Linked DNA regions of Kluyveromyces lactis. The protein of the gene in region 2 interacts with the protein of the main gene of each other region in a pairwise test. Links are inferred from orthologs where the notes say so. Each region holds a gene or a part of one and is shown on either strand. Other genes may lie near its edges.

Region 1 (2,299 bases), on a different chromosome or scaffold from region 2:
AAGATGCAAAAGAAGTATTTGGACCAAATTGATGAATTGTACGAAGATTTCCATATCGTTAAGATGCCATTGTGTGCAGGTGAAATTAGAGGTTTAAACAACTTGAAAAAATTCTCCCAATTCTTGAGAAAACCATACGATCCAGTTGCAGACAGCAAAGTGATTTATGAATTGGAACAACAAGACTGAAAGGAAGATAAATATGAATCATTGATACCTAGCATTACACGGCCAATCTATAATTTTTTATTATTTGTACACTAAATAATTGCAGAGCAGATTCTAAATTGAATCATTGCATCGAATTAGCCTCTATAATGTAGCATTAAACATCTACTTTAGTTGCAACATGAAAACATTATTACTTCAGGCTTCGTGATAGTAAACGAAAAGATCCGAAAGCTAAAAAAATTTTGGTAAATTGAAATGCTCCAGGGGAGGTTCGAACTCTCGACCTTCAGATTATGAGACTGACGCTCTTCCGACTGAGCTACTGAAGCAAATTTCTTGGAAAACTGAATTTTTAAAGAGTTTCATGCACTTGGGATTTGATGTACCATTGAGTCGCAGGGAATTAACTTCAAATCACTTATAAAACTCGCAACTCATTTATAACTTGAGGCATATAGAGTATGTCATATCTATTTAAGTCTCGTATTCATGATATCGGCCTCTCTTTGTGCTTTTAGTAACCATCGTTCAATCAAGGTGTCATATTCTGCTTGAATGTGTGTCAACCTTTCCTGTAAAAGATTGTTTTCTATGTTGATGCTGATCAATTCGTCATTCAAACGCTCAGCATCTCGATTTTTTACACTAATAACATCATGTAGTTGCCTTATTTCCTCTTCCTTTTCCGTAAGATGTTCCCTTAGATTCTTTATGCTGTTTTTAAGTCGTAGTTGGTCTTCGTTATCTTCCTCATTATCTCCAGACAGAAGTGAGACCGTTTCGAAAAGATGCGAAAATCTCTTATCAACCAAATCCCTAACTTTCAATTTATCTAGCAACGGCAGTTCCATGTCACAAGCTCACTAAGATCTGCGTGACATGTTACGTTCTTTTAATTCCATCTCAAGCACTTGCATGAAGCTTCACATTTTTCCTATTTATGATTGATTCTCTAAAATCTAAAACAACAAAATAAAGGGAAGCCTTGTAATCACAACAAAACCAAATAAGCGAAGAATAAAAATCCTCCTTCAATAATCGTTTGGCCTTATTTTGACAAGATATTACCATAGTCTATATTAGTTCGAGGTGAACCTCCTTCCACATGATCAACTAGTACTGTACATCAGCACATTAGATTAGTGAACCATCTCGCATGTCCGAACCCATCAATTCAACGGGAGAAGATAATAATCCATTTTGGAGAAGATGGATCCCAGGAACTAATGCTTCAGAAGAAAACAGTCAAGATACTCCTACTAATTCGTCTTCTGAACACCAGGACGAAGGATGGCTGAAAAGGTATATACCAGCTTGGTTCTCCAATCAAGAAAGTTTAGAAATCAGCGACAGTACATCATACCATCAGCTTACCAAAAAACAAATTAAAATATTGGAAAATGAAGCAGAGCAAGGAATACTTAAAGGACATGATACATGTTGCTGGTTTAATGAAACTTTGAATAATAAATTACTCGATTCTGATGGGGTTTTATCCGTTTACAACACTGGCAGCGCGACTTGTCCCTTGCCATTGTCCAAATATCCATTATTACCACAGCGAAAATCTACTATCATAAATGCCAAAAATTCAACTATCATACCAGGTGTTTCTCCAACTGAGTACATGCATGAACTGCCACTTAAAACGAAATTAGCCCATGCCATAAAAAACCATTACAATTTTATCAGTGAGAAACATCTTTACTTAAAACAGCATTCCACTCTTAATTTCAATGAAGACACCATAATAGTCATATCATTACACGGATCTTTGCCCGAAAAGTATGAACGTGTTTCGACCGGAAAGCTTCCAACAGCACTGGAGCTTAACGATCAAATGCTCAAGAAGCTACTAAACTTTGATCCTCATAGAGCGCTCACCTTTTCGTTCGAATGCCCGCTTGATGTCAAACCAACTCCAATGGTTTTGCAAGAAACCATATCACTACTTAAAAATTGGATGCATCTATTCCAGGATGCAACTCGAATATTTGTTATTGGGACCTACCATAGCGTTCCTCTATCAATTCTGTTGACAGACGCAATACTCGATAATTTCACGATTACCAAATTAAAGTCTATTGGGATTCTTGGTTTTGAATCTTGTTTACAAGGATATCAATTT
Region 2 (2,987 bases):
GTCGCTGATTATTCCTTGATTATGGCGGGTGCTCAGAAAAACATTGGGTTAGCAGGGTTGACCTTGTACATCATTAAAAAAGACATACTGGATGACATTGCAAAAGTTTCTCCAAAGCAATTGAGGGATGCTTCTCTACCAGTCTCACCAATTGCCACTGATTATCCAACTGTAGTGAAAAATGACTCTGCTTATAACACCATTCCTATCTTCACCTTACATATCATTGACTTAGTTTTACAACGCCTATTGGAACAAGGGGGAATTGAGAGCCAACAAAAAGAAAACGAGGAAAAAGCTAAGATCTTGTATGAAGCTCTAGACAAATTCCCAGAGTTCTACAATCTGCCAGTAGACAAAAAATACAGATCAAAAATGAATGTAGTCTTCACCATTAAGAAGGACGGTTTGGATTCTAAATTTTTGGAAGAAGCTACTAAGCTAAATCTAACTGGGCTCAAGGGTCACAGATCAGTAGGTGGGTTCAGAGCATCTTTGTACAATGCTGTTGAATTGTCTAGTGTTAAGCTGTTAGTCGATTTTGTCACCAAGTTTGCAGAGAACAATCAATGATCGTGATCAGTTTAACGATTTACATTTACTTATGTAATAAATAATTTGACCCTTCTCCTTATTGTTTTCATCTCTGTCAATGCCTCTTTCCAAAGAGCAATGGAAAACACAAGAGTCATCGTGTGATATCACTAGAACGACTTCTTCAAATGATTCATAAAGTTTAGAACAAACTTTCCAATCACGAACCCTTACTATAACCTCGTGACCTTTCAACTTGTCTTGTGATTGCCTAGCAGAAGCGTTTTCTAGCATTGTTGAATGTCGATCAATGGATTTTCCGTGTATACCAGTGTCCAAGACATCACTGTCCTCAATATGCATTTCATTGCATGCTACCGGTGATGGGGATGACTCTGCATTTGTCTCACCGTTGTGTCGAAGCGTATCATCTCTTGGATCAGAGTGTGAATCATCACCTTCCATATCATTGAGCATTGCATCTAACGGGCCTTTCCATGCGATGTTAAGTTTCCAGTCAAATTCATCAACAATTACCTTCAGTGAACCCTTTTCGCCCAATTGTTCGCCATGTATCTTGAGTGTATTGACATTTCCGTATCGTTCTATTCGCTTAAAAAACGCATTAAAACCTGGACCCCATTCACTTACGTGACTCGGAAGTTGTAACATCAAAATCCCCACATAATTAACTGTTGGTTCTACTATCTTCTCGTCTTGAGCATTGTACAGTAATTTGACGCCGACCTTAATATTATGCTGTATCGTCCTTTCATCTCGTGTATCTTGAAATGAAAAGCTTAATCCGCAGAGTGTATTGTCTGTATTGTGAGCAGCTGCAGCTGCTTCACTTTCCTTGTCAACAGTTACCAATCTTACCAATTTGATGGTCAATTGAGTTGCGTTGCATTTATCGAATTTCCGCAGCACGCCGACAATAGTATCACAGGGGCACTCCATGGCGACTCTATTATCTTCTCGAATTGAATTAACTACATATGTGTCAAACACATCGTGTGGGACTGTGCACCAAACTTGACCCTGATCTATGACCGTTCCTGTACTGTTTGGTGTTGATATAATGACCAGCCTAGAAGAGGTAAATCTTAAAATACATGTTTTTCGTAGTTTGGACACCGTTATCAACGTTGTCCTGAACAATGAGTAGTCCTCAGTACCTGCTTGAATACTTAGTTTTAGTTTCATTGCAAAATTCGTCCCGAGGATTAGCTTGCTATCACGTTTTTTTGTTATTCCCTTTGTATGTATGAGTTAAAGTTGAACTTTAGATCTGAACGGCCATAAACATCAAATTTAAACAATTCGTTGCCAACAATGTTTAATGACTGGAAGATCTATAAACATAAATTCTAGACGTTAAACGATAGACGAAAGAGAAAGGCTTATAGAGCTACGAGTTCTAAATTTCAGACCCGATAATTATGTTCAATAGGAGGTTGCTTCGACATGTGAGGTATGCCTTTCAACAAGTTAGAAGTAATCATTCATTACAAGAGAGGATCGATGCCATTCCAATTGAAAGATATCGTAACTTTTCTATAGTGGCTCATGTTGATCATGGTAAATCTACACTCAGTGACAGACTCTTAGAGCTCACTAACGTGATTAAGCCAGGTGGTAAGCAAGTTTTAGATAAGCTTGAGGTGGAAAGAGAGCGAGGGATTACAATCAAAGCACAGACATGCTCCATGTTTTACCAGGATCCTAGAACGAAATTGGACTATCTCTTACATTTAGTGGATACACCGGGCCATGTGGATTTTCGTGCTGAAGTTTCAAGATCGTATGCATCGTGTGGTGGCGCTTTGTTACTCGTTGACGCTTCCCAAGGTGTTCAAGCACAGACAGTCGCAAACTTTTACCTCGCTTATAGTATGGATTTGAAACTTATTCCTGTCATAAACAAGATTGACTTGGACATTGCTGACATTGACCAAGCAGAAGAACAGGTTGAAAATATGTTCGAGCTACCTAAGTCAGATTGTATCAAAGTTAGTGCTAAAACTGGATTGCACGTCGAGCAATTGTTACCCGCTATTGTTGATAGAATACCTCCTCCGACCGGTAAAGTTGAGAAACCATTACGTGCATTATTGGTGGATTCGTGGTATGACTCTTATTTAGGAGTGGTGCTTCTTGTACATATAGTTGATGGTCAAGTGAAAAGAGGAGATAAAATCATCACTGCCGCAAATGGATTGAAGTATGAAGTGAGGGAATGCGGTATAATGTACCCAGATCGTGTCGCTACTAACACACTGAAATCAGGTCAAGTCGGGTATTTGGTACCTGGCATGAAAGAATCTAAGGATGCCAAGATTGGTGATACTTTGATGCATCTCGGTAAAGAATCGATTACTGAAGTGTTACCAGGATTTGAAGAACCAAAACCCATGGTCTTCGTAGGAGCTTTCCCTGCTGATGGGGCCGAA
Region 3 (4,161 bases), on a different chromosome or scaffold from region 2:
GATCCTCTTTCGGCCATCGACTTTGATGATTTTTGCCGTACAACTAGGTTCACAACAGTGATTAATAAACCTAGCGATACCACCCCTCTTTGTAGCATCTATAACTGTATTTTCATCAATTCTGAATAAATAACTTGAACCAATTCCAGACTTGATATATCTCTTCTCTCTCATTTCAGCGACCGGTTGTCTAATTGATTCGCCAACATACTCAATAATCATTTCCTTGGCTGCTATAGGTTCCAATGCATATAGGCCCCAATTGTGAATTGCAGATCTTGCAAAAGTGACGGGTTTCTTTCTTTTCGTTAATTGGTTTAATGATAATAGGTCAGATTCAAAGCCAATTGCAGCTCTTTGCGCTTCTATATCTTGCTGGAAACGTCTTTGGAAAACTCTGTTCAAACGTGAGGATGCATTATGGTTATCTTGCTCTAAGTCAGCCTCTTGATTTGTTGATTCTGTTCCATTCAAAGCCATGAAATTCTGTTCTTGATGATTATGAACAGTGTTCAAAGGTTGCGCCAACCTCCGATGATGAAGAAGGTATGAAGATTTCAGTTTATCAGGAATTTTCTTAAAGCCATCAGCAATAAAACTACCAGTCGTTGAAGCTAACGTTGAATCAAATTCTTTTTCATTCAAAGCTATTTGGTTATCCCGAATAATTCCATTTTGTTCAATCTGTTGGTATAACTTCCACATTGAGTACGGCAAAAATGGTGTATAATCAGTAGTAATATCTTTTGATTTTTCTGAGACAATGCCCTTGAGAATAGAGAAATCTTCTTCGTCTTTCAAAGCAAGCTGGAACTTATCGAGAGAAAGCTGCTTGGATTTATTCAAGTCAAAGTCATCATAAGGATATACTGGGGTTGGGAATTCTGATGCAATAGGTTTGTATTTCCCTTCATACTGTAGTAATTCCTTGGACCTTTCATCAGGTAAAGATGCAGCGCTTTCGGGCAGGTCTTCCTCCGGTGTTGTTATCACGGAAGACTGTTTCTTCGACTCATCTGAAATAATATCTTCCGATTCATATCCAGATGACTCCGGAGAGTTTTCACCGTTTGAGCCAACATTGAGTGAATCCACTGTATCTTCTCTGGTAGAAATTTCATCATTTAACAAATGCGACATATGTTCCACCTTAGGTTTCTTTTTACGTTGATGATCAGGAGATTCTTCAGTGTATAAATGACGTTTGCCTAGATCAGCTTTCCTATCTCTTTTCAGCTTTTTTGTTTTAGACGCAGGTCCGTATAGACTGAAAATATCAAATTCTGCGGGTTTGGCCTTTATCGTTGTCTTCTTTTGTGATTCCTCACGCTTCTTCTTCTCATCGTCCAGTTTCTTCTGCCTTTCTACAACTTCCGGGTAGTTAGCAGGATTTAGCGTATCAAATATAATTGGACCTACAAGCCTTCTCAAGATATCACGCTTAATGATATTATGCAAATCTTTGAGAATTTGTTTTGTGGAGGCTTCTAATAGCTCTTCCGTGCTTGAGTACTCTATCTTTCGAGGTTTATTGATATCTCTTTGGTTAGTGATATTTGATTGAAGTCTCCTCTTTGGTTCAATGAAAGTAAATTCTATTTGTATGGGAGAGTGAGTCCTATGCGAATTTATGACCAAGGCACCTGATTCGTACTCTAAACATGCTTTTGCATTTTCCAGATCATGAAAAACAATATATACGCCAGTGTAGTGATCAATAATTTTGGCCCAATTGTACTTACGAAGTTGATATCTGAAATCTGCTGCATTGAACCTATGATAAAACGTAATCTTTGCAGGAACAAACAAAACTGGTCTGTTGTTCACAACTTGAGTTAAATCGTATGGCACTCCTCTTATTACTTGAGGTTTCTGCCCGGATGATTTCTCTGCAATGGCCCGTTTCGCTTTATTCACTTCTGTCACTCTGGCTGCGTTCTGTTTGATTAGTTTGTCCTTTATTGAATTTAACACTGTATTTTGGTTTAAAATGACATTGAACTTGATACCTGATACTGTGTAAGGTGCGTCTTTGAATTTCTCTGATGCCTTATAAGCAGCTTTATATGGAGCATCAGGTTGAGAAACTGGACCAGTGAATTTTATTAGATAGACGTACAATGGCAATGCACTATTTGGATCCATGAACTGTTCAAAATGCGCTATTTCACCAAATGATTTAAAGTAGTTTTTGATTATTGCTTCAGATAATGCGGCTGCTATTGGTTGTTGGTTAGATGCAGAAGGGTATACTATGATTTCTTTTGGAGGTTCAGGACCAATGTAGAAAGAATCATACGGAATTCGCGAGTTGCGTACCAATGCACTTCTAAGCTTTCTATATCTCTTTTTCGCAGAAATGGACCCAGAGACCGCATCCCCATTCATAGGACGTATTCTCGGATCCACCGAAGTTTGTTCAGGCTGCCTGGCCATGAGTATTGGTTTTTGCTTATCCGATGCAATCAACTCCGTTGTTGTCACATATCCATGCTCAGGAATCTTCTCAGATTTCCATTTCTTGAAGCTGGATTCATTTCGTAGTCGTTTACTTACAATGTCGTAATAATGATATTTTGTATTAAACTCATCGCGATCGTATTTCGCACTCACTACTGGACGCGTTGCGAAGGGATTACGAGGAATCTCGCTGATACCACGCGACTGCGACCGTATTGGACGAGATTCGTTCTCATTATTCCTAAGTTGAGACCCAAACCCCTCGCGGGAGTATCTTCGGTTCCCTGATCCATTCCGTTGGAAGCCCTTGTACCTATTCCCATTTTCTTGATATGCATATCGTCCGGTTTGGTACCGATCATTATTCCCATGAAAATGAGAGTACTGTCTATTATAGTACCCACTCATGAGAACTAAAATATACACACACGCTGGAATAGCAACTTATGCTAGATGAAATACTAGAAGTATTGCCAAAACTGAACTTATAGATGGAGAAGCGAATAATGATACTTTTGATTAATATTCAATTTCATTATTTACCATATTTTGTTTCAATATTGGAGAAAATCGAGAAAATCAGAAAAAGATCAAAAAGCTACATAAAGACTGTTTTTAATATTATGTTAAAAATGGTCCATGGAGATGAGATGAGATATATGTCTTTTCCGGGCCAGTGTAATACAACAAGTGAGTAGATGATCCTATTTTAGTCACTTTAGAGTGCTAAGAATCCGTGGAAATAATTTAAGATGTCTACGCAGCAAGTACGAACGTGTGTAACCGATTTATTAGGGGTCAAAAATGATTCTAATGTTGACTGGCAAGACCAACGGTTAAAGAAAGTGGCTTCTACTACAGCAACATTATACAACGTTTCAGTATCGAAAGTGATGCTGAAGAATTCAGAGGAACTTGCTCGGTGCCATATATGTGCACTGATTGCGTTTCAGAAACTAGCTGAGAAGTATGACAATGACCTACCATATTCTCAGGAGAAGATCCCGCTTCCACCAGACCAAGTATCCAAACTTGTGAATATATTTAAGAGAAACATATGGCCTCATTCGCCGCAAAAGGATACCGAAGGACAATTGCTGAAGTTTGATGATACTGCATCACCATCGGTTAGAAAGTCAGCGGTTAAAAATGCAAGATTCACAGGGATAGATCCGAAGTCGTTACAAGAACAGCTATTCCAGACTCCGTCGAAATCAAGAACTAAAAGTGGTATCCAGCCCTTGAAGAATGTTGATCTTTCACCTAGCAAAGGGAGTAGGTCAAGTGTCCGGAGGAAATTAGTGTTTGAAGCTGATACAGAAAATGGCCTTCCGTTGCCCATATTAGCAACCCCGAAGAATAAGACTGATATGATCAATATACCACAAGTGTTTGGATCAGTTGAGGATGATCCTGAATCTCCATTAAGACAGTCACCCTTTCGTGACTCCCCTTCTAAATACACGCCTTCACCAAGAAAGAAAAGAGGTAAGTATAACGAATGGAACATGCTATACAAAAAATACTATAGACCGTCTACCGCTGAACTGGTGACTCTGTGCAATGAATTTGAACTTCCTGAAGAAGTAACAGCTACCATAATTTCCGAATTCAATAACAACGCTACTTACCTAGCGTATCCTACACAGTTGGTTTGTGGTCTGGTACTTCTTTGCTCGTTCGTTGTCTTCAACCAACAGA

Evidence for each region.
Region 1: the proteins of MEC3 (region 2) and ATG16 interact in a two-hybrid assay, tested with the Saccharomyces cerevisiae proteins (2 studies listed by BioGRID). The link is inferred for Kluyveromyces lactis from reciprocal best matches to the Saccharomyces cerevisiae genes MEC3 and ATG16.
Region 3: the proteins of MEC3 (region 2) and SET1 interact in binary tests that used the Saccharomyces cerevisiae proteins (3 or more experiments, as listed by UniProt). The link is inferred for Kluyveromyces lactis from reciprocal best matches to the Saccharomyces cerevisiae genes MEC3 and SET1.

Annotation. Positions count from the first base shown.
Region 1 is NC_006041.1:145,628-147,926, forward strand, and holds ATG16 (Atg16p), read right to left. Parts: upstream 1,023-2,299; coding exon 642-1,022; downstream 1-641. Other genes in the region: guanine nucleotide exchange factor GET3, read left to right, coding at 1-189; CVM1 (Cvm1p), read left to right, coding at 1,328-2,299. UniProt on the Saccharomyces cerevisiae protein: Stabilizes the ATG5-ATG12 conjugate and mediates the formation of the 350 kDa complex, which is necessary for autophagy.
Region 2 is NC_006039.1:440,191-443,177, forward strand, and holds MEC3 (Mec3p), read right to left. Parts: upstream 1,741-2,987; coding exon 580-1,740; downstream 1-579. Other genes in the region: SER1 (O-phospho-L-serine:2-oxoglutarate transaminase), read left to right, coding at 1-573; GTPase GUF1, read left to right, coding at 1,977-2,987. UniProt on the Saccharomyces cerevisiae protein: Component of the checkpoint clamp complex involved in the surveillance mechanism that allows the DNA repair pathways to act to restore the integrity of the DNA prior to DNA synthesis or separation of the replicated chromosomes.
Region 3 is NC_006042.1:2,246,968-2,251,128, reverse strand, and holds the start of SET1 (histone methyltransferase SET1), read right to left. Parts: upstream 2,869-4,161; coding exon 1-2,868. Other genes in the region: ORC6 (origin recognition complex subunit 6), read left to right, coding at 3,213-4,161. UniProt on the Saccharomyces cerevisiae protein: Catalytic component of the COMPASS (Set1C) complex that specifically mono-, di- and trimethylates histone H3 to form H3K4me1/2/3.